Macaca fascicularis: one gene and its partners. The protein of the gene in region 1 purifies or fractionates together with the protein of each later gene. This does not show direct contact. Links are inferred from orthologs where the notes say so. Each region holds a gene or a part of one and is shown in the gene's direction. Other genes may lie near its edges. The genes, in order: PTPRU, GOLIM4 and CLGN.

What was found.
Region 2: the proteins of PTPRU (region 1) and GOLIM4 purify together in Homo sapiens (affinity purification with mass spectrometry; 3 studies listed by BioGRID and IntAct, counting the BioPlex papers as one, with this or other methods). This does not show direct contact. The link is inferred for Macaca fascicularis from reciprocal best matches to the Homo sapiens genes PTPRU and GOLIM4.
Region 3: the proteins of PTPRU (region 1) and CLGN purify together in Homo sapiens (affinity purification with mass spectrometry; 3 studies listed by BioGRID and IntAct, with this or other methods). This does not show direct contact. The link is inferred for Macaca fascicularis from reciprocal best matches to the Homo sapiens genes PTPRU and CLGN.

What each region holds. Positions count from the first base shown.
Region 1 is NC_088375.1:205,696,214-205,705,964, reverse strand, and holds the end of PTPRU (receptor-type tyrosine-protein phosphatase U), read left to right. Parts: intron 1-1,140; coding exon 1,141-1,281; intron 1,282-3,846; coding exon 3,847-3,972; intron 3,973-4,105; coding exon 4,106-4,263; intron 4,264-5,725; coding exon 5,726-5,861; intron 5,862-6,128; coding exon 6,129-6,191; 3' UTR 6,192-7,329; downstream 7,330-9,751.
Region 2 is NC_088376.1:79,488,777-79,498,674, reverse strand, and holds the start of GOLIM4 (Golgi integral membrane protein 4), read left to right. Parts: upstream 1-3,803; 5' UTR 3,804-4,442; coding exon 4,443-4,629; intron 4,630-4,897; exon of another isoform or gene 4,898-4,998; intron 4,999-9,898. UniProt on the Homo sapiens protein: Plays a role in endosome to Golgi protein trafficking; mediates protein transport along the late endosome-bypass pathway from the early endosome to the Golgi.
Region 3 is NC_088379.1:145,565,170-145,575,355, reverse strand, and holds the start of CLGN (calmegin), read left to right. Parts: upstream 1-4,652; 5' UTR 4,653-4,866; intron 4,867-5,473; exon of another isoform or gene 5,474-5,557; intron 5,558-10,186. UniProt on the Homo sapiens protein: Functions during spermatogenesis as a chaperone for a range of client proteins that are important for sperm adhesion onto the egg zona pellucida and for subsequent penetration of the zona pellucida.

The sequences.
Region 1 (9,751 bases):
AGGAGCCCCGTTGGGCACCCAGGCCTGAGTTTTGGAGTCTGGCTGGGCCTGGCCTTGAGGAGTTGTTAATCAAGAGCCTTCAGAGAGTCCTGGAGAGGGACCACTGGGGGACCAGGGGGGCTCCTTGTTTCTCTGTACTGCAACTTGCAGGATTACAAAGGGCAGATCAAGATTTGGTCAGGGCCCAAGTCAGGGTCAAGGCCAGAAGAAGCCAGACAAAGACCAGGGTCATGGGAGCCTGTGCCAGCCCCTAGGTCGGGAGGAAGACCGGGGGTGAGAAGAGCTCAGGAAAGAGAGGGGGACATGGCACAGGGTGGGGCAGGGCAGCTCACCAGGGGAGCCTGGGAGCCAGATCTCTGATGAGAGAAGGCCGGGTGCCAGCTCCCCTGGCAGGACGAGGGAGCAGTGAGCAGCGTCAGGGCCTGTCACTGCCTGGGGAGCCTGGGGTCCCAGACCCTTCACTGATGGAGTTGGGAGGGACCTAGAGATTTATTTATTCAAAATATTTACTCCTCCAGGGCTCTGGGTGGAGACCACACCCTGGAAGCTCTGCTCTCCTGAACCTTGCTTTTAGGAGATGGAGTGGGATAGTCAGGAAATAAATATACAATGAAATGTCATCAACTGGAAATTTCTACAAAAACAGCCAGGCAGAGTGTTTAATGTGGATTTGGGGTGTTGGCGGGGGGCTATTTTTGATGAGGTGGTGGGGGGGGGGCTTCTCTGAGGAGGTGATAAGCAAAGACCAGAAAGAAGTGAGGGAGAGAACCATATAGACATTTGGGAAATTTGGCCTAGGCAGCCAAAATAGCAGATGCCGAAGTGCAGAGGCAGGGAGTAAGCTTGGCCAGCCTCTGCCGTGAGCTCAGCCTCATGCCCAAGCTCCCCTCACCATACCTTTGGAAACTTTTGCTGTTTAGTTCTGGGGGTCCTGGGCCCACCCTGTCAACCCAGGGCCTCCGTGTGCCGACCAACATCAGAAATGGCCCACTGGAGGCAGCCTGGTCCTGTGGGGCACAACCGCCCAACTCAGGGTGGGCAGTGCGGGAAGACAGTCTGGGGCAGAGGTTCAGCCCAGGCCAGGGGCCGGGAACAGGGCCCCGCTGAGTCCCGGTTTCCCTGGTCCCGGTTTCCCTGCAGAGCTACACACGGAGCGCGGCCTTCATCGTGACCCTGCACCCGCTGCAGAGCACCACTCCTGACTTCTGGCGACTGGTTTACGACTACGGGTGCACCTCCATCGTCATGCTCAACCAGCTGAACCAGTCCAACTCCGCCTGGGTGAGGCCTCCACTGGCCAGGCCGACGGGCCACCTGCTGCCCAGGTCCTCTGTGTATTCAGCGGCATGGTCCCCAAAGCCAAGAGTTGGGTCCCAGTTCTGCCATCTATTTATTGTGTGACGAGTCATACACCTTCTTAGAGCCTCAGTTTCCTCATCTGTAAAACAAGGGTGTTAGATGGGAGACCACTAGTTGCTCTTTTTCTTTTCTTTTTTTGAGACAAGGTCTCACTCTTTTGCCCGGGCTGGAGTGCAGTAGCGGGATCATAGCTCACTGCGTTGTACAGCCTCAACCTCCTGGGCCCAAGCCACCCTTCCACCTCAGCATGTGGAGTAGCTGGGACTACAGGCTGCATCACCACAGCTGGCTGATTTTTTTTTTTTTTTTTAAATAGAACCACAGTCTCACTATGTCGCCTGGGCTGGTCTTGAACACCTGGCCTCAAGTGATCCTCCCACCTTGGCCTCCCAAAGTACTGGGATTACAGGCATGAGCCATTGCATCTGTCCACAGTTGCTCTTTATTGGCCCCCTGCTAAGCCAGGGACTGCTTTGCACTCATGGTCTTATTTAGAATCTATAATGACCTTGGAGGGAAGGCTTCAGTGAGAAAATTAAGACCCAAAGACGTACAGTGCTTTCTCCATGGTCACATGGCTGGGGAGGGGCAGAGCTGCGCTCCCCGGCCTCGGCTGCCTCATTCCAGAGCTTCTGCTCTTTTAGTCACTCCACTAAAGCGCCCTTCACGGGGGCCTCCGAGGTAGAGTACAACTGAAGCCTCCTACTTTCTGACTGTTTGATCTAGGGTAAGTTGATGGACCTCTTTGAGTTTCACTTTCCTTCTCTGTAAAATGGGGGCCATCATAGGACCTGTTCTTAAGGGGTTACTGTGAGGACCAGGTCAGGTGTGCATAGGATGCATGGCACTGCTGTGTCTGGTGCACAGTAGGCATGTGGTACGTGTAGGCAGTAGGCAGGGACAAAGATGATGAGTGTGACAGTTGCATTTGAGATTGGCCCAGACACTGGTTCAGTGACCTCAGCCTGGGGGCAGCCCCACTGACTCCCCCATTTCCCTTTGGAGCTCCCAAGAAGTACAGATACCCAGCCTTCCAGCCCTGCCTGACCATGTGCTGTAGGTCTCTGGACCCCTTCCCACTCCGGCTTTCTGCTGGGCTCGAGGCTAGGAAGATTTGCTGTAAAATGAGTACAACAGCTTCTTAATGGCCTCCTGGAGAATATTTCATTAACTGGGCTCTTTATGCATCAGGCACTTTGTGAAAATGACCCAGGACTACAGGGTAATGGGCCTCAGCCCTGGGTGTAGCAGGAACCATCCTTGCTCGGGTAGAGGGGAGAGGCCCAGAGGGAGGCTCACACAGACATCATTCACTGGGCACTGATTTGCTCATCTGTTCAACCAACTTTGCCCAGGAACTGCTCCCTGCAGTGGGCAGGGAGGGGACAGAGGCAGAAGAGACACAGCCCCTCCCAGATCTCCTGGTCCAGGAGGAAACAGGTAGAAAAACTGATAGTGACAGCACAGAGGGAAAAGGGCTTTCAAAGAGCTGGCACAGGGACAGAGAAACCCAGGGGACCACGTATCAGCGACAGCTTCCTGGAGGAGGTAGTGTCTGACCGGAGATATGTGGGAAGGGCAGAGTTGAGTAGCTGAGGAGGTGGAGGAAGAGTGACCCGTGGAGAGGGAGCAGCCTGTGCAGAGTTCTGAATGCACCGCGTTGCCGGGACCTGAGGCAAAACGGGGAAGGTGGTGGTCTCCTGTCATGGGCTGTGGTCAGAGGGGACTGATGAGCATGGTGTCTTTTTGGAAGAGGTTGGGAGGCATTTGACAGATGGAGAAACTGGGGCCAAGAGAAAGGAAGAGCCTTTCATGGGCTTCAGGCAGAGCTAAGACTAGAAACTGAGGCTCAGGATACTTAGCCTGGAGGATGTGTGCGCGCGTGTGTGTGTGCACGTGTGTGTGTATATGTACGTGTGTGTGTATGAGGTCGGAGGGCTGTACCTCCTCTGTCCCTCCACAGTCGAGTCTGGGAGGGGGTTGTATGTAGAACCCTGACTCCATGGAGGGGTCCTGGGGCAGAAGTGGGAGTACCGGACTGTGTTGCAGCATCAGGGACACCCCACCTCTGGGAGCTGGTGCTGAAGGGCAGAGGCAGTGAGAGAGAAGGCTGGGGGAGGTTCTGGGGTGGGTGGGAGTGATCCAGGCCTATTCCTGGAAGCAGGCAGCCTCATGTAGGAGCGTGTGAACCGGTTAAGGTGTAGCTTTCTAGCTGCACAGCAGTAGGCATCAGTGCACTGTTTGTGAAGGGTTCGTCTTGGCTGATCTGAACGTGTCAGTGCAGAACGTATTGGGACAGGTGGGCCTTGCAGCCTGTGGGTGATTGGTGGTGACTGGAGGGCCGCTGAAGGTGAGTCTGGAGTGAGTGGGTGGGCCAGGGTGCGTGGGAGCTACAGGGCAAATGTGGAGCCCTGGGAGTGGGCATGGCTATGGGGTGAGCCCCGGCCAGGCTCTACTCAGCTCTCCCCTCTCCGTGCCCATGCCCAGCCCTGCCTGCAGTACTGGCCAGAGCCAGGTCGGCAGCAGTATGGCCTCATGGAGGTGGAGTTTATGTCGGGCACAGCAGATGAAGACTTAGTGGCCCGAGTCTTCCGGGTGCAGAACATCTCTCGGGTGAGTGGTCTGAGGAGCCCCAGGGAAAGACCCTGGGTGGCGGCTGGGGCAGCTTTTAATGACCCTCCGGGTCATCAGGGGCCCCTGGGACTCTGGTGCTCATGTCCCCGTGGCTGGCTGCCCCTGTCTCCAGCTGCAGGAGGGGCACCTGCTGGTGCGGCACTTCCAGTTCCTGCGCTGGTCTGCATACCGGGACACGCCTGACTCCAAGAAGGCCTTCCTGCACCTGCTGGCTGAGGTGGACAAGTGGCAGGCCGAGAGTGGGGATGGGCGCACCATTGTGCACTGCCTGTGAGTACCTGCCCTGCAGGAGGGCGGGTGGAGGGGTTGGGGAGCCAGGGGCAGAGGTCCAGTCTGAAAGGGTGCCGGCTTTGGCTGGACTGCAAAGCTGGCACCGAAACCCCTGGGCTCTCAGATGGCTGTGACCTGGATGCTGCCCAACCAGCCAAGGCTGGCCCTGGAGGAATCCAGTCAGTTTCCAGGCTATAGACTCAGCCCTGAACAATTGCCTAGTACCCTCTGTGTGATGTCTGACTTTGCCAATTTGAGAGTCCTTTGTCAGAATTTTTTACCCCATGAGATTTTGGCACACTTTTTATGCCAACAGGATACCAGCCTTTGTTCATGCATGCACACATGCGACTTTTTCCATCCATCCATCCATCCATCCATCCATCCATCCATCCATCCATCCATCCATCTGCATACCCCATTCATAAGTTCATGTATTCACTCATGTCTGGGTGCAGTCACTCCCTTGCTCCCCACTTTTTCATGCTTTCAGCACTTACCGAGCCTCTCGAGTGGCAGGCTGGGCCTACTGGAAGTTGGTGGGAAGCTGAGTCAGTCTGGGCCTGGCCCCCAGGGGTTTTGGTTCTTCTGGTGGGAAAGACCCCTGAGAAGGGGAGTGAGGGCCGCCTCAGTCTGCCATCCCCCAGGAGGCACCCCACACATGGAGTCACAGGGAAGGAGGGAGAGGCACAGAGGGGGTGGAGCTCTGTGGGAGGCTGTGGGCTTGACTTGGGGTGTGGGTACGTTTGTGCCTGTGTGCCCACGTTGCCAGGTGGTGACCGGTCTTCTCAGCGTTCCTGTTCCACCTTGCTCTCTGGGTACGCGCTTGCTGCTACCCAGCCGTTCTTTGTCACTGCGTTTGTCTCCGGGTGTTTCTCTTGGAGTGTGTCTGGCCTCCTTTCTCTCAGAATCTGCAGTCTGTTTCGCCTTGAGAACATGTTTTCTGAGATGCCCTAGCCCCTGATCCTCCTTAACCTGGTCCTGCTGGTCACCTCTGGGCCCTCTCCTCCTCTCTCTGGGTTCCCTAGCCCCACCCCTTACCTCAGGGTCCTCTGCCCCGCCCTTCTGAGTTCCCTAGTTCTGCCCCTCACCTTGGGCTCTTTGGCCCTTCTTAGTTTCCTTGCCCCGCCCCTCACCTTTGCACTCTTCGGCCCCTCCTTTCTGGGTTTCCTAGCTCTGCCTCTCATTTCCGGGCTCTTTGGCCTCTTCCTTCTGGGTTCCCTAGCTCCGCCCCTCTTCTCTAGGCTCTCTGGCCCCTCCTTTCTGTGTTCTCTAACTCCGTCCCTTACCTCTGGGCTCTCTGCCCCACCCTTCTAGATTCCCTAGCTCCGCCCCGCTCCTCTAGGCTCTCTGCCCCTCCTTCGTGGTTCCCTGACCCTTTCCTTACCTTCAGGTTCCAAGGCCCCACCCCTCACCTTTGACTCCTGAGCCCCGCCCCAAACCTTTTGCATCTCTCATTCAGAAATGGGGGAGGACGCAGTGGCACCTTCTGCGCCTGCTCTACCGTCCTGGAGATGATACGCTGCCACAACTTGGTGGACGTTTTCTTTGCTGCCAAAACCCTCCGGAACTACAAACCCAACATGGTGGAGACCATGGTGAGGGGCTGTGTCCCGTGCCCAGCCACTTCTACCTTCCTGGTCCATGCCAGGCTGGGTTCCTTAGCAACCACTCTCCCATATCTGGGCCCCACCATTGGGCCTTGGTTCTAGCCCTGTGGTCCTAAAACATTACCCCCATTTCCCCCTTCTCCCCGAGGGCGGGCCTGGGCTCATGCTTGCCCTCTCGCTCCCCGTTCCCACCCCCGCCACAATACTGGAGTCGGGGTCAGGCTCATGATTTCCTCCCTCTCTTTCTCTCCCCAGGATCAGTACCACTTTTGCTACGATGTGGCCCTGGAATACTTGGAGGGGCTGGAGTCAAGATAGCGGGGCCCTGGCCTGGGGCACCCACTGCACACTCAGGGCCAGACCCACCATCCTGGACTGGCGAGGAAGATCAGTGCCTCCTGCTCTGCCCAAACACACCCCCGTGGGGCAAGCATTGGAGTGGATGCTGGGCCATCTTGCTGTCCCTTCCACTGTGGGCAGGGTCTTTCACTTTGTCCTATGGGCAGGTCGTTGGCCAAGGAGGAGCTTAGCAAGTCTGCAGCCCAGCCCCACCTCCATAGGGTCCTGCAGGCCTGTGCTGAGAGGCCTGGCACTGCCTGGCAGAGTGACAAGGGCTCAGGACGGCCGGCTCTGGGGTACTCAAGCCAAGCCCCTTGGCACCGTCCTGGCCTTTGGCAGGGTTGAGTGAGGCCCTGCAGAGAGTATCCCAGGCCAAGATTCCCACTCAGCCTGCTCCCTCTGCAGTGGGTAGAGGGTGTACTGGGGCTTGGCATCTAGGATTCCATCTGGCACAGCCTCTGAGGGTCCTGGGGAGGCAGGACTCTGTTCTGAACAGCCAGTGGGGCACACTGACTGTCCTCCCCAGGGGAACTGCAGTGCCCTCCTCCCCACTGCTCCCTGCAGCCCCTGGGATATTTTGCTCACTCTCCCTCCCCACTTCTGCTTCCCTGATATGTGCTCTGAGCTTCCCTGAACCAGGATCTGCCGATTCCTGCTGTGCCCCACGGTGGGCTCCTTCCCTGCGTGACCCACTGTTGCAGAATGAAGTCACCTCGCCCCCCTCTTCCTTTAATCTTCAGACCTCACTGGCCTGTCCTGCTCAGCTTGGGCCAGTGACAATCTGCAAGGCTGAACAACAGCCCCTGGGGTTGAGGCCCCTGTGGCTCCTGGTCAGGCTGCCCATTGTGGGGAGGGGCAGTGCTAGAGCAGGGCTGGTCATACCCTCTGGAGTTCAGAGGAAGGAGGACCAGTGCTTTTTTGTTTCTTTTGTTATTTTTGGATGGGTGGTTGGGAAGGTCTCTTTAACATGGGGCAGGCCACACCCCCATTCTGTGCCTCAATTTCCCCATCTGTAAACTGTAGATATGACTACTGACCTACCTCGCAGGGGGCTGTGGGGAGGCATAAGCTGATGTTTGTAAAGCGCTTTGTAAATAAACGTGCTCTCTGAATGCCACAGAGCAGCCCTGTGTGTGTCTCACCAGCCTGATAGGGCCTGCTCACCTGCCCCCAGCCTCCAGTGCAGTGGGAGGGCCCTGGAGAAGCCTGGGTTCTGATCCAGTCCTGGTTTTTCTATTTGTAAAATGGTGGGAGTGTGGACCAGGACATCACTCAGGGTCCTTCCACTTTCAGAGTTGGTTCCAAGGGACCCTGGCCATTGTTGCCCCCACCCAGGCCTCTGAAGCAGTTCCTCAGGTAGGGTATATCAACCTGAGACCCCTGAGGGCCACAGAGCTGCCTCTCACCCCACTGGGGGCCCTGGATCAGGTTGAGCTCTTTCTGGGGCAGCATGGGAGGCTCAGGCTGTGGTGTCAGGCAGATGGGCCCAGCAGCTGCGAGACCCTGGGTGAGTTAGTGCCCTCTCTGGGGCCTACTTTATCATCTGTAAAGTGGGGACAGTCCTGTTTGGATCAGATGAGGTAATGATTAAGTGCCTTATGCAGTGCCAGGCGCATTGAAAGGGCTCACTTTACAAACATGGCAGAGATGGGGGCAGAGGAGACACAGCCCTGCGGAGGATGACCGTCCCGTTGCCCCAGCCCAGGCCATTCCCAGCTCCAGCTGCCTCATGGGGTAGAGAGGGAAGAGGAGCGGGCTGGCTGGTAGGGACCTGGGTCACTCCTGGCTCTGTCACAGACTTGCTGCCTGACCTTGGACAAGAGAATTCCTGTTTCTGGGCCTCAGTTTCTTCATATGAAGGCTGACTCATTCTATTTGCACACTGGCTGACCCTGTGTGCCTCAGTTTCTCCACTGGTCAGAGGATACAACCCATTCTAATGACCTCACAATTCAGCATACTTTAATCTGAGTTAAAAATTAATTGGCCAGTTAGGATCACACTTGACTGGGGCACAGACTGACCCCTCATCCTCATTCTGAGCTGACCTCTGAGCCTTACGTGATGGATCACAAATGTGTGTCATGGGTACTGGCCCAGTGATAGAAAATGACTTGCTCTGCCCAGTAGCATGGGCAGAAGTGACGGCACGTGAGTTCTGGATCCTGGGTCTCATGAGGCCTTGCGGTTTTTGCTTTCGCTCTTCTGGAACTCTGCTATACAAGGGAACCTGTCTCACCTACCGGATGATTTGAGGGCACACAGAGGAGAACCAGCGCATGCCATGAACAGTCAGTATCAACTCCCAGGCTGTGAGTGAGGCTGTCTTGGACCTTCTAGTCTAGCTGACCTGTCAGGTAAGTGTAGCCCCATGGCTAAGCTTAGAAGACACTGCCCAGTGAGCCCCTAGAACTGGGAGAGACGCTAAATGGTTCTTTCTCTGAAGACGGTCTGTTGGAATCCCTTGTTACATACACAGTTAGCTTTCGCTGATACACGCGTGTGGAGCAGTCTGGATGCGGCTCGGCCCTTTGCTCTGTTCGGTGCTGGCTCCTCAAGGGCAGGGAGTGTTTCTGTGCCATCTTGTGTCCATTGCCCAGTAAGGGGCTTGTCTTGGAGCTAGTGCCCTGGAAATGTTGGCACGAAGGATGGAAGGAAGGAGAGGTTGGACTTGCCTGCCCGACTGACCAGGGGCATCTGGCCTCTCAGAGGAGCTGGGGAGGTGGGCTGTGTATTAGGAGGAGCACCAGCTCCAGAACCCGCAGGACAAGTCCCGCCCCCAGCTCCACACCCCACAGTCGGGTGACCTTGCACAATCCCCTAACAACCCTGCAATAAACACAACAGGACCTATCTGCAGGATTGGTTGTGAGGTCTAGGGACAAAATATTTAAAAAGAGCCAGCGTAGTCCTTAGTGACATAATTGACCCTCAATAAAAGGCATCTCATACCATAATACTGAAGCCCCTGGATAATGAAAATGGTGACGGTCACCTTTCATTTTGTGCCTATTCCTGTGTTGTGTGCCCTACAGCCTTTATCTCTCCCTCACTCCATACAGCAGCTCTTTAAAGTGGGGATTCCTACCCCTTCAGTTTAGAGATGAGACACGGAGGCTCAGGGAAGTGAGTTTACTCACCCAAGGTCACCTGGCCAACATATGGCAGAGCAGGGACTTGAACCCGTGTTTAGGCTGACTCCACACCTGGGCCTTTATCTGCTCCGCTCTGTGGCTTCCCTGGGGTCAACAGCCCAAGGATCCCCTCAGTGCAATGTCAGATGGGGAATTTGTGGCCTAAGCACTGCTTCCCAAATGCTGTGAAATGTGTCAGAGGTGGTGGCCTCTTGGACAAGGTGGCCTGGAGCACAGGAAGATGAACGGTCCAGCCGGGTTCTGTCCAGGGCTCTGGCTGAGCAGGTGTGGGTAGAAACCTCCACCCATCCAGGCCCCAGCAAATAAGATTTCTACAAGTGCAGATAGGCCGGCTGCCTGTTACTGCCAGAAGCTAAGTTGTTCTTTATGCCATAATAAATCTTG
Region 2 (9,898 bases), on another chromosome or scaffold:
GTGAGGTCTCAGCTCACTGCAAGCTCCACCTCCTGGGTTCACGCCATTCTCCTGCCTCAGCCTCCAGAGTAGCTGGGACTACGGGTGCCCGACACTGAGCCCGGCTAGTTTTTTGTATTTTTAGTAGAGAATGGGTTTCACCGTGTTAGCCAGGATGGTCTTGATCTCCTGACCTCGTGATCTGCCCACCTCAGCCTCCCAAAGTGCTGGGATTACAGGCGTGACCTACCACGCCTGGCCAGACCTATTTTTTAGTTTGTTAATCTTCTAACAATTACAACTAGGGCATTATCAAAATCCTATGAAAAAGGTGTCTCAAAACATCTCTCACAAAATGTTCAAAAAGACATAATACTTTGAATGTAACTTTCTTTACCTCTCAAAACAGCTCAGGTAAAGGTGGCAAGCAGCAAGGCAAGTGTATTCATTAGGGGACAGCAAACTGATGAACTGGTAAAAAGGTGAAGACATAATAGAGTGAAGATTGTTTTACAGGATAAATAACTTCTGTAATTGTCAGATGAAAAGGTTAAAATTAGTTTATTAATACTGAAAAGCTATTTTAAATTTTGTTTAATATTCATCACCTTTTCTTAGGTGGTGATTTCTCCTACAAATTACAAAATATTGAGTTCCACCTATAGTAAAGAAATTTAAATAAAAGATTTAGGCAATAGAAATTATTTACTCTAGGATCCTAAATATTATTAATTTAAAATCTTACTTTTAGAAATTATACGTCAGCTGTCTCTCTCAACTTTATATTTTTTCCTTTCCTTATTTTGAAAATGAACAAATTTGATTAAAATGACAAATTCTCTTAAGTTAGAGAGAATTAATATTCTCAAATGTTATCTTTGCCCTTCTCAAATGTAAGACTTGGAGTATCTTTCAGTTAATTTCTTCCTGACTTAGAAATAAAATACTAAATCAGCAAAATTCTTCAGGGTTTACAATTTAAAATTTAATATATTGTTAAATATATGGAATATAGAAATATAATTATATATACTATTTTTAAAATAACAAAGAAGCAAAAATAGAATAAACAACACACCTTCCAAGACCAGTATAAACAGCTCATATGTTACAATTGCTACCCAAAGGCAATGTTATGTATATTCAATTTATAGGCCTTGGATAGCTTCCTCATGTTGGCTGTTCAAAAGTTCTATACTGATATTTTCAGAAAACTAGCAGTATACTTTACCTTGGAAATGTAATATTATAAAAATACCACCATTAGTGATTTTATGTACTTCTACATACCCTTCTCGAATTTGAAATAATGGATAAGTTCAGGTAATACTTTTTGCTCTTTCAAATTTTATGACTAAAATATTGAGTTGTGTTTTATGGCCTGCATTTATTATGTTCTGTAGAGTCAGCCAGCAGCTGACTCTACAGGCAAAGAATAGGCAAAGAATATCATTGGCAAAGAATATCGTTGGAGTCTGGAATCACATGCAAAGGTATCAGAAGTTTAAGATGAATCATACATTCAGGAAACATAAGAATTTTCCAAAGATTCTAAAATACATATTGTGTAATATATGAGCAATGATTTTCCAACAACTTCTTTTTCTTTTGTGGCTAGGATAATTTTCTTTTCAAATATGGGGCAAGATTGTTGCCATAAACTTTATTTATTTATATATTTATTTATTTTGAGACAGAGTCTCACCTCTGTCACCCCGGCTGGAGTGCAGTGATGTGATCTTGGCTCACTGCAACCTGTACCTCCCAGGCTCAAGGGATACTCCCAACTCAGTTTCTGGAGTAGCTGGGACTATAGGTGAACTTCACCATGCCCAGCTACATTTTTATGTATATATATATTTTTTGTAGAGGCGGGGTTTTGCTGTGTTGCCCCGGCTGGTCTCGAACTCTCAAACTTAAGCCATCTGTTCTCCTTAACCTCCCAAAAGTGCTGGAATTATGAGTGAGCCACCATGCCCGGTCTAAATTTGGATAGTGTTTTTGGAGGAAGAGTTTGTTTAACAAAGTACTCTGACAACAGTAAGGAATGTTTAGTTATGAGGAATTTTAAAGGGATTCCAGTAATTATCCAATCTTAATTTCTGAGAGTCAAACTAGAAAAGAGGAATTTAAAGTGGTAGATTTAATAATAAGCAAGATTATGTAGTATTTACACAACAAAACTCCCAAACTCCTTTAGATTGTTTTCTTTTACAATCAGATTCTCATGTTAATGGAGATACAGTTTCTGACTGTAACGTGTATAATAGAATGAGAACATTGTTTCTATTGAAGAAAAAGACAGAGAGCAGGATTTGGATCTGGATTCTAATCTTGCTGAGTAACTAACTTTATGCAAGACCTAAAAGGTCCTAGAGCTATCATAGTCACTTTGATAAACTTTGGCTTCTTTACCAACATGAAAGTCTGACACCCTGGCGGTGATCAGTGAGTCAGTGTATCTGTACACGAAAGTATTTTGAATAATATAATGCAAGTTATTATTTATTAAGGAAAAGCACATGCAAGACACACTTTATTTTTACAGTGGTATAAATGCCACAGACTAGCATCATTATAAATTCAGTTTATTTTATGGCTTTAGCAACCTATAATTTCAGAGTCCACCTAAAAAAACTTTTGCACCAGGAACTGTCTTTCTGTTGAATTTAGCTAAAGAGATTTACCCCCATTTTGAGCACTCACGCCCATTAGCAATGGTAACGACCAAAGTCCAGTTAGAATATAAAAATTATGCAGTGTATCATACATTACACCACACTATTGAGACAGATAAAATTTACTTTTCTTAGAATTCAGATCAACAGCAGAAACAAACATTATCATTTCTGCATAACCTTAATTTTTCCCCTCAGGTACACAGAAAAAATAAATGCAGTATACATTTCTTCGAAGAGGTTTTTGGTTATTACCTTTCCTGTGCTGTACTAGTTTTTACATAGGGAACCTTTGTTGCCCTTTAAAATGTAATTTAGAAATGTAACTGATGTGTTTTGCCACCAATAAAACAAATATATATGACAAAATGAATGGATACTCATTTCAGTCTGTACGATTTGTTTTTAAATTATTCTATTTGCAGCTAGAGGAGAAATGTGAGATCATTTCTTTCCTTTCTGCCAATGGCAAGCTGATTTCCCCAGACCACGTGGACAACTGAACATTAAGTCTAGCGTGCTTCAAGTCTCCCGACTCCTGCCGGGCCATCTGTGGGCACACACACATCTAGGCTAATACACTGGATGGGGTAAGGCAGTCGACACAGCATCTCTGGTTTGACTACCGGGATTGTGCTATGTAGCTATCCCATGTGTCTGCCGCATCTGTTTATTGGACAGGGAAAGAAACTGTATTCAGCAGAGTGCACACAGTTACTGCCATCCATTCTTTCGTTCATACATACATTTTACTACGCTCTCCACGTGCGTTCCGAGAACTGGATCACAAACACACATACTCAAATACACACACACACACACACACACGTGTTCACCGAACCTCACCCAGACTCAGGCCCGGACAAGTACCCCGCCCACCCAAAGCTCCCCGCCCTTCCGCCTGCCTCTTCCCACCCTCTCCGACTCCACGTGGGCGCACCCCGGCGCCAGGCGGCAGCGCTGCCCAAAGAGCCCCTCTCCTGCCCCGGCACTGGGAGGGAAGGCGCGGCCCTGGGGTCGGACGGACAAAGCGGGCGTCCAATCGAGCCCGGCACTGCCTTCCCGAAGGGAGGGAGCGGCAGCTCGGACGGGCCCAATGAGCAAGGAGCCCGAGTGGGACTTCCTCCCGGAATCCCGTTGGCCAGAATAGCGGGGCCGTGGGTGACACGTAAGTTGGGCGGGAGGTGGCGGCGCGGCAGAGGCTCCAGCCGACCCGTCAGTGACACCGCTCTGCCGTCCCCAAAACCAGCCGAGGCAGCTGGCCCCCACCCTTCCACCCATTGGGCAGGCCGCGCCGGGGCGCGGCCCGGAGTCATGGTCCCTTTGTTGGGCGCGCACCCCCTCCCTTAGGTGGCAACAAAGTCGTGCAGTGGAAGCCGCCGCGAGGGGGCGGGGAGCTGCCAGGGCGGGACTCCAAGAGCTGCCCGGGGGCAGCGGGGCCAAAAAGTGGGAAGGAGGAAAAACGGCAGGAGGCATCTGGGGACAGGCGCGAAGGCAGCCGGCTCTGAAGTATGCGGAGGGCCCCCTCCCGGCCCCGGGCATTCGCGGAGAACGAGCGTCGCAGAAGTTTGGCTGCAGCTGCCCGGGCGGCGTCGATGGCTGCGCGCCCCGCGACGCGCGGGGGCTGAGCGGGCGCCACTTCCCCTACGGGCCGGCTTTTGTGTCTGGCATCTCCTCCTCATGCTGCGTCTGGCCACCTCCTGCGGCGGCCGCTGCTGAGACGCTCGCTCGGACCAAGGGGAGGAGACGGCGGGGGCGGCCGCGGCGTTGGGTCCAGGCGGGACTATGGGAAACGGGATGTGCTCCCGAAAGCAGAAGCGGATTTTCCAGACGCTGCTACTGCTGACCGTGGTGTTCGGCTTTCTCTACGGCGCGATGCTCTACTACGAGCTGCAGACGCAGCTGCGGAAAGCCGAGGCGGTGGCGCTAAAGTACCAGCAGCACCAGGAGTCCCTCTCCGCCCAGTTACAAGGTACGGCTAACGGGACGCGCGCAGTCGGTGGCCAACTTTGCTCCGCGCCTCCACCCGGGCAGGAAAAGTGGCTTTGGGGAGCTCTTGGCACTGTGGTTGCCACCTCTGACCTTCACGGACGTCAGAGAAGAGCTTTTCAGGACTGCCGGCCCCAGAGTGTCAGGGGAGATGACATTCTCACCCTCCCGCTTCTTCCTCCCAGCGGTTAGGTTTGAACTTGGTAGCACCAGCCCATCGTCCCGCTGGGCGTTTGGTGGGCGGGTGCAGAGAGTCCTTTACCCGAGGGCTTGTCAAAGGCCCAGCGAAACTAGGAGCCCTCCGCCGCTTCTGCCAGCCCTGCTCTAAGGAGCGTTGTTCCGTCGATTCTAGGTATTTGCTTGCTTGTTGACTTTGTCAGTTGCTTAAAACATGGAGAGTTTGGCAGAGATTTCTCACACTGTTTTGTTTTTCAAGGGAAAATTAAGTCATGATCCAGCAGCTTAATTAAAGTCATGGCCCAGTCGAATGGAACCTAGATCTGGACCCGCTAGTTTCTTATTTCTTATTCTTTTAATTTAATAGGATGTTTTCAGAGATGCTGGATGTGTGGGAAAAGTCCACACTATATACCATTCACCATCCTGCAGTAGTTTCTTTCAAAAAAGATTTGCTTGTCTTCCTCAGTAGCTTTTACTTTATCACAGAGCTGCATGTATGTATTTTACAGTAAGCTCGGGAAGTCAGAGGAGAAACAGGTTTTCACTTTGCCATGCACAGCAAACCCAACTTGAGCAAGACCTGTAGAAGAACTTAAAGTTTGTGTCCTTCTATTTTAGAATCTGATTGAATGTAATTTTCACAAACATAATTTATTTTTAATGTAAATTCAGAAACATTACCTCAAAGTCGGCACCATGTCGTCTTGTTAAGGATGTATCCTATACATATTTTTTTTTTGCAAGCTTTTACTTGTGGTTAGTTTTCAATACTTATGCAACTTTCTCCCCAACCAAAAAATAATGAATAGCTGTAAGTAGTGAAATGTTGGCAGCCTTTGCTGATGATGCAAATATAGCTTATTTAATATTGCTAGGTAGATAGATGCAAGCTAGAGGAATGTTTCTGTGTATGTGTGTGCAGATATAAAACGGATGCTTCTTCCTTGCTTCAGTTATTCTAAGTGTTTTCTAGTAAAAAATTTAAGATGAGAGAAAATGATACGCATCTGATTGCTTGAACTTACTTGCTCTTCCCAGCTTAGAAGAAAGAAAAGTATTTTTAGCTTACTGAGGCTGCATAGCCACAGGCAATGAAAATACATGGCTGGGCTTGGTTCAAAAGTAAAACCCGTTTTGATACACTCTTAGGTTCAAAAACATTTCTTTAAACTCATTGAAATTTACCCATGAGTTATTGTTGGTATGAGAATATGGATATTTGTTTACTTATTTATTTAGAAGATATCAGTAGCTTCCCTGTGAAGTTCCATGATGTTAGACCAAGGGAAAAATTTGCTGTCTAATAGTACAACAGTACTGGATTTTCGTAAACATGGCTGGAAGGGCCATGTATGGTGGATTATATGAGGTTGTGTGTGCCTTGGTCTCTTAGGAGTCCCAAGAGGGCAAAGGCTGTCATTTTCACCATTACCTCCCCAGCACCACACTGTGCCTGACACTCATTAGGGGAATCAATGCGTGTTTATTCAAACAACAAACAAAAATTATTTGAAACTGTGGTGAGTAAGTTCATCCCAGGCACTTTTGTCTTTCTGAGACTTTGCTTCTGTGTCTTTGCTTTTTGAAAGCCAAATAAAACAACAAGAAAATATTTTGTTCAAGTAGCTCCTTTGCCTCAACGGCCTATGATGGACATTGTTGACTAAGGCCCTGATTTCTGAATAATGGCCTTTATTTGCAGTATTTCATTTTGAAATTTTAGAAATTTCTGTTCTAATTTGCCCTTTCTTTTTTTGGTGGTGGTGGTGGTAGAGGGGAAAAGAGGTGGTAAATGATAATACAGGATCATTAAAATGTACAACTTTTGTTTTGCAGCAGATGGAAATGTTCTACCTAATTTGAATAAATGGCTTCAAAGTTCATTTCTTAATTTATTTTTTTGTCATTTCCTCTTTAATTATGGTGCTGCAAAACTTGCAGTATGATTATGCATTAAGAATTTTTTCACAAGCAGGCTACAGTTTTTTTGTTTGTTTTTGTTTTTTGTGGATTCACTTTTGACTTCTGTAGCATTTATTTTGGATTTCGCATGTGTAGGCCATTCAATGAACATTTTCTGATGGTATGCAACTTTTGCTTCCCTTTTCCAAGACAAATGACATTTTACTCAACAGCACCGTGTGCCACCTGCATAGATGGGCTTTTAGGACATCAGGCTCTCCAGTCTTAATACTTGTTTAGTTAGGTGGGATTGCATGACCTGCCTTGGATTCAGATCAGAATTAATTACTTTACAAAGAGTGGTCTTTTTAGAAATGACTCAAAATTTCAGTAGTTTGGTCCTATAACCTGGTGATGTGCATTTGTTAAGTGAGCATATTTAGGTCACCTTCAATTTAAGAATACATTATACTTCATAGATTCCTTTGAAAGTGTGTTACTTGTAACCCCAAGTTACAAGTTTTATTATAGAAGAGCCCCATAAATAGAAGATGGCGGGGATGGCATGCAGAAAGGTCAAACACTAGGCAAATCCCTTCCACTATAAAAATATCTATATCTGCCTGTTTATCTCTCCCTCTTAGCAATCAGCCATCTATTTATCTCCCATACGGGTACCTTAATTATACTGAGGAGTAGGGCAGAGGTCACATACTGGTGGCAAAGGTAATAACAATCTTTGGACAGCACAGTGTTTATATAACCTTTAATTTTTTTAAACTGCTTTCAAGTGAGCCATGCTCCACTGTCTGTATCTATAAGCAGTGTTTCTCAGTCTAGACTGCCCATTAGTATCACCTGGTGGCTCCCAGACCAATTAAATAACAGTCTATGGGGGGTGGAACCCAGGCTTCAATAGTCTTTAAAGCTCCCCTGGTGATTCCTGTGTGCAGCCAAGGTTGAGAGCCACACCTCTATAATCTTAAAACTGAGCCACTCCGTGCATTTACTTTACTTGTTTGACCCCAGAGACACTTGAATTTTTTTATCTGAGCATGTGATTTAAAGCAGATTGGCTTCTAGACTGTAATTCAAATTCTACTTCTAAAACCTTTTGTGTGAACCTCCACGTTTTTCTTATTTATAAAATGGAGATTAGAATAACCTATTTTATAGAGGTATTGTGAGGATTAATGAAGGTGATAGACTGTAGAGCTCTTAGAATGTACTTGGCATATAGTAGGTACTGCTCATTAAAAGTTAACTGTTATCAGAATCCCTTTTGAGGTAAGCTGTTTTATCCCTTCTTCTCTTGCCAGGTTTGTCATGAGTAAAAATTTTGAAATTGGCCGAATTTGTTTATGTAGCTAACCACCTTCTTTTATTGTACCTTAAATGAACATCCAGGAATATGCAGACATCCAGTGTACCTTACTCAGAAGAAAGGACCTTCCTTGACAATTTAAACTTGGACTAGGGTTACTGATTAACTGTGTTCTGGATCTTATCAGATTAGGAGAGGGTGTGACTGCTAAGGTAATAATTATGTGCTGTAAGATCTGGGAGAGAGATATAACTATTTAAATTTTTACAAAAGGCTTTTAGCATAGAGGCAAAGAGCCCGACATTCCTAAAACACAGTATTGCAATGCTTTTGGACTTACAGGGATAAGGAGAAACCATGAAGAAAAAGTTTTTGTAAGGTTTATATGTTCCTATTCCAGATGAATATGTTACAACTATTTAAAATTTAAAAAAAGGTCACAAATGTGGACCCGTAGAAGTGCAGAGTTACAAGTGTGGATTTCTTACATGCATATATTGAGTTGTGGTGAAGTCTGGGCTTTCAGCGCACCCAAAGAATGAACATGTTTACCCCACAGGAAAATTTCCAACTCTCACCCCCCTGCTAGCCTCCCACCTTTTGTAGTCTCCAGTTCCACTCTCTATGTCCATGTATGCTCATTGTATAGCTCCTACTTGTAAATGAAAACATGCTGTCTTTGACTTTTCTTTTTCTGAGTTATTTCCTTTAAGATAATGGCCTCCAGGTCCATCCATGTTGCTACAAAAGATATGACTTATTCCTTGTTACGGCTGAGTAGTATTCCATGGTGTATATATACCACATTTTCTTTACCAGTTCTCTGTTGATGGACGCTTAGGTTGATGCCATATCTTTGCTATTGTGAATAGTGCTGCAATAAACATACAAGTGCAGGTATCTTTTTTGTATAATTATTTATATCCCTTTGGGTATATACCTAGTATTGGGATTGCTGGACTGAATGGTAGCTCTATTTTTAGTTCTTTGAGAAATCCTGATACTGTTTTCCAGAAAGGTTGTACTAATTTACATTCCCACCAACAGTGTATAAGCATTCCCGTTTCTTTGCATCTTTGCCAACATTTGTTGTTTTTTGACTTTTTAATAAAAGCCATTCTGACTAGTGTAAGATGCTATCTCATTGTGATTTTAATTTGCGTTTCTCTCATACTTAGTGATGTTGAGCATTTTTTTCTGTTTGTTGTCTTCTTGTCTAGCTTCCTATTAAAAATGTCTTTTCATGTCCTCTGCCCAGTTTTTAATTTTATTTTTCTTGTCAAGCTGCTTGTGTTCCTTGTAGATTCTCGATATTAGCCCTTTGTCAGATGGATACTTTGCAGATATTTTTTCCTATTTTGTAGGCTGTCTGTTTACTCTGTCGTTTCTTTTGGTGTGCAAACATTTGTTATTTAAGTTAGTGTTTTTTGCGTTGGGCTCCTCTAACACTTAGGATGGCCCACTGGCCTAAGCATGAATACATCTTGTCATTGGTTATTTCTTTGCTTTCAACCTTCCCTAAATCTACTTTTAAAAAGGAAATGTTGGCCAGGCACCCTGGCTCTTGCCTGTAATCCCAGCACTTTGGGAGGCTGAGGCGGGTGGATCACTTGAGGTCAGGAGTTTGAGACCAGCCTGGCCAACATGGCTAAACCTCATCTCTACTAAAAATACAAAAATTAGCCAGGTGTGGTGGCACATGCTTATAATCCCAGCTACTCAGGAGGCTGAGGCATGAAAATTGCTTGAACCTGGGAGACAGAGGTTGCAGTGAGCCCAGTCACACCACTGCACTCCAGCCTGAGCAGCAGAGCAAGACTCTTTCAAAAAAAAAAAAAAAAAAGAG
Region 3 (10,186 bases), on another chromosome or scaffold:
AAAATGATCTCCTCTGACTCCACGTCTCATATCCAGGTCACGCTGATGCAAGAGGTGGGTTCCCATGGTCTTGAGCAGCTGCATCCCTGTGGCTTTCCAGAGTATAGCCTCCCTCCAGGTGCTTTCACAGGCTGGTGTTGAGGGTCTGCAGCTTTTCCTGGTGCACAGTGTAAGCTGTCAGTGGATCTACCATTCTGGGGTCTGGAGGATGGTGGCCCTCCTTCTCACAGTTCCACTAGGTGGTGCCCCACAAGGACTCTGGGTGGGGGGTTCTGGCCCCACATTTCCCTTTGTCACTGCCCTAGCAGAGGTTTTCCATGAGGCCCCTGACCCTGCAGCAAACTTCTGCCTGGGCATCCAGGCATTTCCATACATCCTATGAAATCTAGGTAGAGGTTCCTAAATCTTAATTCTCAACTTCTGTGTACCCACAGTCTCAACACCACCTGGAAGCTGCCAAGGCTTGGGGCTTCCACCCTCTGAAGCAACAACCTGAGCTGCACCTTGACTCCTTTTAGCCATGGCTGGAGCAGCTGGAACACAGACCACCAAGTCCCTAGGCTGCACAGAGCAGGGGGGCCCTGGGCCCAGCCCACAAAAGTGTCTTTTCCTCCTAAGTCTCTGGGCCTGTGATGGGAGGGACTTACATGAAGACCTCTGACATGCCATGGAGATATTTTCCCCATTGTCTTGTGGATTAACATTTGGCTTCTTGCTACTTATGCAAATTTCTGCAGTGGGGATTTTCATTTCTCTCACATTGTCAGGCTGCAAAGTTTCAAAACTTTTATCTTCTGTTACCCTTTTAAAACTGAATGCCTCTAATAACACCCATGCCACCTTTTGAGTGCTTTGCTGCTTAGAAATTTTTTACACCAGATACCCTAAATCATCTCCCTCAAGTTCAAAGTTCCACAAATATCTAAGGCAAGGGGAAATTGCTGCCAGTCTCTTGTTATATGTGCTGTGCAGTATGGATTGAAAAATTTACTTATTACATGTGAAAATTCAATTGTACCACCACAATTTGTTGAAAAGACTATTCTTTCTCTACCAACTGCATGTATACCTTTGTCCACACTGTCTTAGTCTGTTTTGTGTTGCTATAACAGAATACCTGGGACTGGGTAATTTATAAAGAAAAGAGGTTTATTTAGCTCACAGTTTGACTGGCTGGGAAGTTCAAGGACACGGCTCTGGCTTGTGGTGAGGCTTTTGTGCTTGGCCAAAAGATGGCAGAGAAGGTCAAAGGGGAAGCAGAGCATGCAAAGAGGGAAAATCCTGAGGGGCACCTAGCTTTATAACAAGCCATTCTCATGGGAATGAATCCAGTCTCGTCGGAGCAAGAACTCACTCACTACTGAAATGGCATCAAGCCACCTACGAGAACAGGACCTTCATGACCCAAACACCTCCCATTAGGCCCCACTTTCCAGCACTGCCACACTGGGGACCAAACTTCAACATGAGTTTTAGTTGGGACAAAGCAACCATATCTAGGCCATAATACATACACATGTAAGTCCATATAGAATCTATTCTGTCCCATTGATTTGTCTTGATACTAATATTCTTTGATAACTCTTTGATAACTATGACTGTATATCATTCTATAAATCCTGAAGTCGGGTGGCATTTCTGGGGGGCTTTATCTTGAGACACAAGATAAAAATTCAGCATGGGCTCATTCTGCCAACTATATAGTTTAACCAGACGAATTCTGGGAAAAACCAGGAACAAAACAACGATGACTATTGTCATTACTATTATTTACTATTGTTTGATATTTTTGTTAAAGCAATAAGGGAAAAAACCTCAGAAAATAAGTATAAATATAAGAAAGAAAAGATTATTTTCTGCCATAGACATAATTATACACCTTAAAAATAAAAATCAACCCACTGGAAATACTTGTGGAATACTTGTTTCCTTTTCTCTATTCTCTGCACCATTAAAAAGCACATTTCAAAATATATGAAACTATACAAACATTTTAAAGTATTATTTGAATTATCTAGGCTCTGAGTCCCTTCGTTGTATTTGAGTTAAAACTTCATTCTACATAGTTCTTTAATCCTGAGAATCAGAGGCATTTCCTATATTCTGCATTTTTCAAGTGGCAAGGTGTTGTGGAAAGAGTACAAGCTTTGAATCCTCACTCTACATTTTAAGGCCTGTGTGAATAAGTTATGTAACTGATTGGGGTCTATTTCCTTATAAGTAAAATAAGGATGATACCTGTGGGTCAACTGCATATAACAACTTGCACATAGTAGACCATTAATAAAACACAGCTCTGATTTTGATTACAAAACAGGCTTCCAACAGGACATCACTCTGTTCCATCAAGTAGCATGAAACTTTCTGCCTCTTTCTGTTTGTTTGTTTTGTTTGAGACAAGGTCTCACTGTGTCATCCAGGCTGGAGTGCAGTGGCACTATCTGGGCTAACTGCAATCTCTGCCTCCTGGGCTCAAGCCATTCTCACCTCAGCTTCCCAAGTAGCTAGGACTACAGGCATGCACCACCATGCCCAGCTAATTTTTGTTGTATTTTTTGTAGAGATGGGGTTTCATCATGTTGCCCAGGCTGGTCTCAGGCAGCTCAGCTCAAGGGATCTACCTGCCTCAGCCTCTCAAAGAGCTGGGATTACATGCATGAGTCACCATGCCACGTCACCTTTCCTGCTTTTTATGTTTTTCTAGATTTCTGATTACTCTGGTCCCTCCAATCTTGATTACATCGCCTTGGTCTCTTCCCAAATCTCTCTTCAACTTTGATGTGTCAGAACACTTCACAACTCTACCATTCAGCATTATCTTCTGAGACTCCTCCCCTTGTATCATTAAACACTACCTCATGCTCAAAAAGTCATACCCTGGTCTCATTTTCAGATTATTCTTTGACATTATTATCACACTGTATTATTCTGATGAAAAGTTGCCTATTAAACAAAATTATAAATATTATATTCAATCATCCTTTCAATAAGTGGCAGATAATTTTGGAAATATGTTAAGACCTTAAATTTCAAGGTAACAGATTAGATTTCATTCTGTGGGTAATGAAGGGTCATTGGAAACTATTGAATGAGCTGAGGATTCAACTATGAAGTGTAGGTGGGAGGCTCTGAAGGGGGGCAACTAGTTAGACAACTCTGAGCAACAGTTTCTAAAGGAGTGAGAATGTAAACTAGAGAAATGGTACAGCAGCTGAAGGGGGTGAGGACCTCTTTTAGATGATTTTATGGAGATAGAGTTTAATTTATGGAGGCAGTGAAAGTAGCAGCCAAAGAGTAAAAAAAAAAAAAAAAAAAAAAAAGTTCTCAAGGTTTTGAGTACTATGTGACCAAGAAGATACTACTAAATCTTACAAAAATTCACTATTCTTACATCTTTAGTTTTCAGCTTCTTCATTGCAAACTTTGAATGGATCCTTTAAAAAAATCCTTCTCTAGCAGTTCAAGTGTATTTGTTATGGGCCACAGAAGTATGTTGAATAATAGAAGTCAGGATGGAAGAAAGAAATAAAGGGTATAATATTGTTACAAAGTATCTCAAATGTCTTTTTAACCAGTAAATTTTAACACTATCCAAACACTCTCCCAGAGGTGACAAAGTCAAAAGTTTAGAAATGCTGGTCTTAATTAGTAAAGCAATGTGAAAAAAAACTCAGTGATCTTGACCCCAGCCAATAATGATACGGTGTGCATGGAATGCCACCAGTCCTTCAAGACTGAGACTCTTCAACAAGGGTGTTAGTCTCACAAGTCAATCAAACGTTGTTAATTAATCTTCTGATAAAATTAAATTGGTATTATACCAAATTCAAAGTCAAGATTTACTGTAAAATATAAGTAGTAAAAGCTGAATGATCCAATATATAAAAGGCAAAGCAGCTTGTGATTGAACACTGCGTTTATGCTGTAGTTTTATTTCAATGTGATTGAAACTGCAGGCTCTGGGAGAGACAGACCTGATTTACATCCTGTTTCCACTGTTTACGGGTTGTGTAACTTCGAGCAAGTTATCATCAGTTTCATCACCTGGGTTGCTATGAAGGTTAAACAATGAATGTAAGCCCCTTAGAGCACAATGAACACAATAAATGTTAGCAGCTCTTATTAATAGTGTTGTTGGAGAGAAAAAGAACATATTGTTTTATATACAATGTATTTATTAACATTTAACATATCTGTATTTGTCATATACACACACCAGACAGGAAAGCTCCTTATTAATCACCACGACTGCAGATCTGTTAACATCTAGAACTCTAGAGAAAGCCTAGAGCCCTAATCTTGCTGCACTTATTACTGGACGTTGTTCATAAATATGATTTACATAAAATTCAGGACCCAAGCATTGAGCAACAGGGGGTAGAACCGCACGGTCTGCAGAGAGGGCGGGCGCTCAGAGAAGGAAAACTCTTCAGACTTGCAGGAGGAATTCCTCCTCGGCTAACCCGGGAGCGGGGCTCACTCCACAACCGGCCGGCGGCGGCACAGGCTCGCTGTGCGGCTCCCCCTGGAGGCGGTTGAGCCCCTCGGAGCAGGAGCGCGCAGCACGCGCCTGGGACAGCCGCCGCCTCTCGCCCGCCGCCGCACGCGCATGCGCGGTTAGTAGTCGCTGCTGTGCGGCCGCCAGCGGGATTGGTCTGAAGAGACGCGGGGACCAAGTGGCAGCGACTCGGACATCTGGGCTGTCACTGCCGAAAACAGGCCACAAGAGAGGTGCGTGAGCAGCAGGCCGCGTTTCCGCTGTCCCGCTGCCCTTTGCGCGCGGATTGGGGTGAGGAAGCGGATCATTGCTGCTTCCCCAGGCACCCAGTTATTTTGCCGCCAGAGGGCTGAACCGGTCCGGGCCAGGTGAGGGTGGATGTTGAGTCTGGCGATGGGGCTGCAGCGAGCTAGGGTCTTGACTGGGCTCTGGCGGCCCCGTGGGTGGACGCAGGGGATCGGTCGCTCCTTTTGTGTCTCCGGCACCGCGGCGTCCACCTGCTGCGCCCGGGCTGGGGCGGACGGGTGCCGGGACAGCTAGGTTCCCTGCCCAGACGGCCTCCCCTGCTGGCTTGAGGAGCCACCGGGAGCCGAGGCCGTTATCCCAGCGGTTGCCATTGCGGCCCCGTTCCACGCTCGAGCCCCGGGGCGCTCTCCCAATGGTTGTGGAGGGGGCCCGGGGCGCGTCCGGGCGCTGCTCACTCCGCTGACTGCTCCTCACAGAAACCCAAACGAGACCAAAATAGGCTCGACTGTCGCAGTCTCCACCTCTGTGGAAGCGAAGCGAACCCACCTCAACGCGGTGGGGCCAAGGACTGTCGGCCCCTCCCTGGATACCCGCGCGGAGCCCAGTGTGCGCCGCCGGGGGGCGGGCGAAAGGGCTGGGTTGAATCCAGAGAGGCCCTAATTACTAGACTCATTATCGCCCCAGGCCTGTTTACCATCAATCAGACACTTTCGCTGATTTTATTTATAGCAGCTGCCCAAGCAACAAGGAGGAGGTGTTTGCTTGGGAGTTAAAAGCAAATGGCAACCAAAGCTCAGGACTGGGAGAGAAAAGGTAAATAATGTGGCCTCGGGAAGAAGTCTCAAATTAGAAGAGGGTTCATTAACATAGAAACTTTTTGTTGCTTAAAAGCAGGCAAAATCCCGATCTCATCTGATGATTTTGCTTGCTTTACAAATGTCGACATCACTCGAGGTAGCCCTCCTTTGGGTCATTGAGAGTTTGACCTCTTTTCAGTTTGCAGTTTGGCCTTCACGTCGTATTGCTTTGATCTTCCAGTCACATTTAGATCTCATCCTCAGAACAAGATTTTCCGTACTCTCTGTCTTAGCTAGTTGATAAGGTTAATTACTGTGTGTAAATGATGTAAATATGTTGATACATCTGTCTAGAAATTGAACAGTGTTGTAAGTTAGCTGTAGTACTAAGTACCTAATAAATATTGGTGTTTTTAAATAGAAAACTAGAATTATGAACTTTAAAGAATCTTTGGATTGTCTAGTTCATGTCACAAATGAGAAAACAGGTGCAGAGCAGTTTTAATCACTTGCCTTTTTAATAATAAAACTAGAAACTTGGTGCGGTGGTGCCATGTTCAGTGTACTTTTTATTCTATCATTCTACGTTGCATTCCTGACGCCACATGAAAACTAAAACTTTAAATAATAGGTGATTGTCAAACACCACTTCTGGGATATGCCAGTGTTGGTCCCATCCTCAGTCAGCCATTAAAACTGAGTAACAGCAGAAAGGCATCGCAGTTATAAGAAATAGCATGTACAGAAGTGTGTTAAATAGGTGTGTTGAGAATGAAAGAAGGCTGGGCGCGGTGGCTTACGCCTGTAATCCCAGCACTTTGGGAGGCCAAGGCGGCCGGATCACCTAAGGTTAGGAGTTCGAGACCAGCCTGACCAATATGGTGAAACCCCGTCTCTACTAAAAATACAAAAATTAGCCAGGCATGGTGGTGCACGCCTGTAATCCCAGCTACTCAGGAGGCTGAGACAGGAGAATCACTTGAACCCAAGAGGCAGAGGTTGTAGTGAGCTGAGATTGTGTCACTGCACTCCAGCGTGGGTGACAGAGCAAGACTTCATCTCAGGAAAAAAAAAAAAAAAAAAAAGAATCACACAAATGTGTCAGAAACATAAAGTGACCATAGTGTTGGAAAAATGGCAACTGTAGACTTGTTCAATGCAGCGTTGCCAGAAACCTTCAATTTGTGAAAAATGCAATAAATCAAAGTGCAGTTAAATGAGGTATGCCTGTATGTACACACACACACACACCCCCAATTGATTCTGCTTCTCTGATTAATAAAATGGCTCTCCTCCAAGTAATGATTCAGGGATTCTGCAACTTTCTACCTTGTAATTCTGCCATTTTCAACCATGATTTTCAAAATTACTTGCATCAAACCAGATGGGGAAAGATCATAAAGAATTATAAATCATAATTATGGGAAGTTTTTACGGGCAAGGGCTGACAGCGGCATACAGGTCTTCTATTTTACATTCTATTGGCTGGAATTCATTTCCCTGGTCACATCTAGTGCCAAGGAAATTACCCTGTTGATCAGCCAGCAATTTCTCCCACATTTTACAACAGATATTACATATCCTGTGATTGTCTTTTCTTTGTGTGCCCTACTTACCTTTGATGTGACAGTGAGCTTTACTTCAATACCAGTACATGAGCTGCACTTTATAATTTGTAATTTGGGGGTGGTAGTGGAGATCCAGTAGGGTTTTTAGGTGATATTGGTGTAATTATTTAAAGTAGACCAGACTACTTGATCTAGATTTCAAAGATTGGGAAGAATGGTATCTCATTCATGGATAAAGTTACTTGTGCTTCAATTTGTTATTGAACTAGCACAGAAGCAGTGCAGAGAACATACATGAGATCAAAGATACGTGTTGGTGCAGAAGGATGCAGTTCTTTAGTGCCTCCCTTCTTATGAAGGCACAACTGATATTTAGTGATCTCAGCAAGCCTCATGGAGTGAGGAATACATAAGAAGCTTGGAACCCTGGGCATGCTACCTTTTAATTTATAAGGAGGGAAGAGGGTGACATTAGCACTAAATGTTCTACCCTATACCATATAAACAAATTCTTGCTGTACTAAAATTGCATAACTTAGAACAACCATACAGATCAATAAAGAAATAGGTAACACCACAAGCCAACTCAATGTAATAAACATATGGACAGCACTGTACCCAACAATAGCAGAACACACATTTTTCTTAACTGCACATGGAACATTCTCCAGGATAGACCATATTAGACCACAAAACAAGTCTTAATGAATTTTAAAAGACTGAAATCATACAAAGTAAGTTTTCTGAACACAAAGGAAAGAAACTAGAAACCAATAGTAGAAGGAAAACAAGAAAAATTCACAAATATGTGGAAATTAAACAGCACACTCTTGAACAATGAGCCAAAGAAGTCTTAAGGAAAGTTAGAAAAATATCTTGAGACAAATGAAAATTGAGAACAAAAGATACCAAAACTTACGGGATACAGTGAAAGCAGTGTTAAAAGGGAAATTTATAGCTGTAAACACTTACATGAAAGACAAAAGATCTCAAGTTAACAACCTAACTTACACCTTGAGGAACTAGAAAAAGATCAAATGAAACCCAAAAGTTAGAAGAAAGAGAGAAATAATAAAGATTAGAGCAGAGGGAAACAAAATGGAAAACAGAAAAACAAGAGAGAAAACAAGTGAAATCAAGAGTTAATTCTTCGAAAAGGTCAACAACAACAACAAAAAATAACAAACCTTTAGTTGGATTAAGAAAAATGAGAGAAGACTCAAATAACTAAAATTGGTAATGAAAGGACACTACATCTGATTCTACAGAAATAAGAGGGATTATAAGAGAATACCCTGAAGGATTGTATGGCAACAAATTGGATAATCTAGATTAAATGGATACATTATTAGAAACACACACCCTATCAAATTTAATCATGAAGAAGTAGAAAATCTGAACAGACCCATAACTGGTAAGGAGATTGAATCCGTAAACAAAAACTTCCCAGCAGATAAAAGCCCAGGACCAGGTGGCTTCACTGGTGAGTTCTACCAAACATTGAAAGAAGAATTAACACCAGTTCTCCTCAAATTTTTCCAAAATATTGAAGAGGAGTAAACACTTCCAGATTCATTCTATGAAGCCAGCATAACCCTGTTATCAAAGCCAAAGTCACTACAAGAAAACTACAGAGCAATATTCCAGATGGTTATTGATGCAGAAATTCTTAACAAAATACTTGACAACAGAAGTCAGCAGCATATTAAAAGAGTTGTATACTATGACCATGTTGGACTTATTCCTAAAATTCAAGGATGATTTAACATAAGAAAATCAGTGTAATATGCCACATTAACAATGTAGAGAGGTGAGAACACATGGCCATCTTTATTCATGCAGAAGAAGTATTTCACATGATTCAACACTCTTTCATAGTAAAAAAAACGCTCAGTACACTAGGAATAGAAGAAAACCACCTCAACATAGTAAAGGCCATATATGAAAAGCCCACAGTTAACATCAGACTAAATGGTGAAAGACTGAAAGCTTTTCCTTTAAGATCTAGAATAAGACAAGGATGCCTGCTTTTTCCACTCTCCCATGCCAGAGAAATTAGGGAAGAAAAAGAAAGAAAAAAGACATTCGAATTGAAAAGGAAGAAGTAAAATTATCTCAGCAGATAACATGATCTTGTACGTAAGATATCACAAACACAATACAAAAATCTGTTAGAAATAATAAATGAAGGCCACGCATGGTGGCTCATGCCTGTAGTCCCAGCACTTTTGGAGGCCAAGGTAGGCAGATCGTTTGAGTCTAGGAGTTTAAGACCAGCCTGCGCAACATGGCAAAAACCATCTCTACATAAAAATACAGAACATTAGCTGGGCATGGTGATGCTTGCCTGTAGTCCCAGCTACTCTAGAGGCTGAAGTGAAGGATCACCTGAATCCAGGAGTGCAAGGCTGCAGTGAGCCATGATGGTGCCACTGCACTCCAGCCTGGGTAACAGAGTGAGACCCCATCTCAAAAAACAAACAAATGAATTCACTAAAGTTGCAGGGTAAAAAAATTAGCACACAAAAATTAGCTGCACTTCTGTATCCTAACAATGAAAAGGAAATTAAGAAAACAATTCCACTTATAACAACATCAAAAATAATAAAATAGGAACAAATTTAATCAAGGAAGTAAAATACTTGTACATGAAAAACTATGAAATGCTGAAAGAAATTAAGAAACAAATATTAATCAGTGGAAAGACATGTTCATTGGGATTAGAAGACTTAATAAGATAGAAACACAACCCAAAGTAATCCACAGATTCAGTGCAATCCCTATCATAATCCTAATAGCCCTTTTTGCAGGAAGAGTAAAATTCATTTAGAATCTCAAGGGACCCCAACTAGCCAGAACAATCTCGGGAAAGAAAAAGTTTGGAAATCTCGTATCTCGATGTTTCAAAACTTATTACAAAGCTATAGCAATCAAATCAGTGTGAGATTGGCATAAAGACAGACATATATATCAATGGGATACAATAAAGAGCCTAGAAATAAATTCTCACATATATGTTCAAATATTTTCTTAAAGTGCCAAGACCATTTTGTGAGAAAGAACAGTTTTCTCATGAG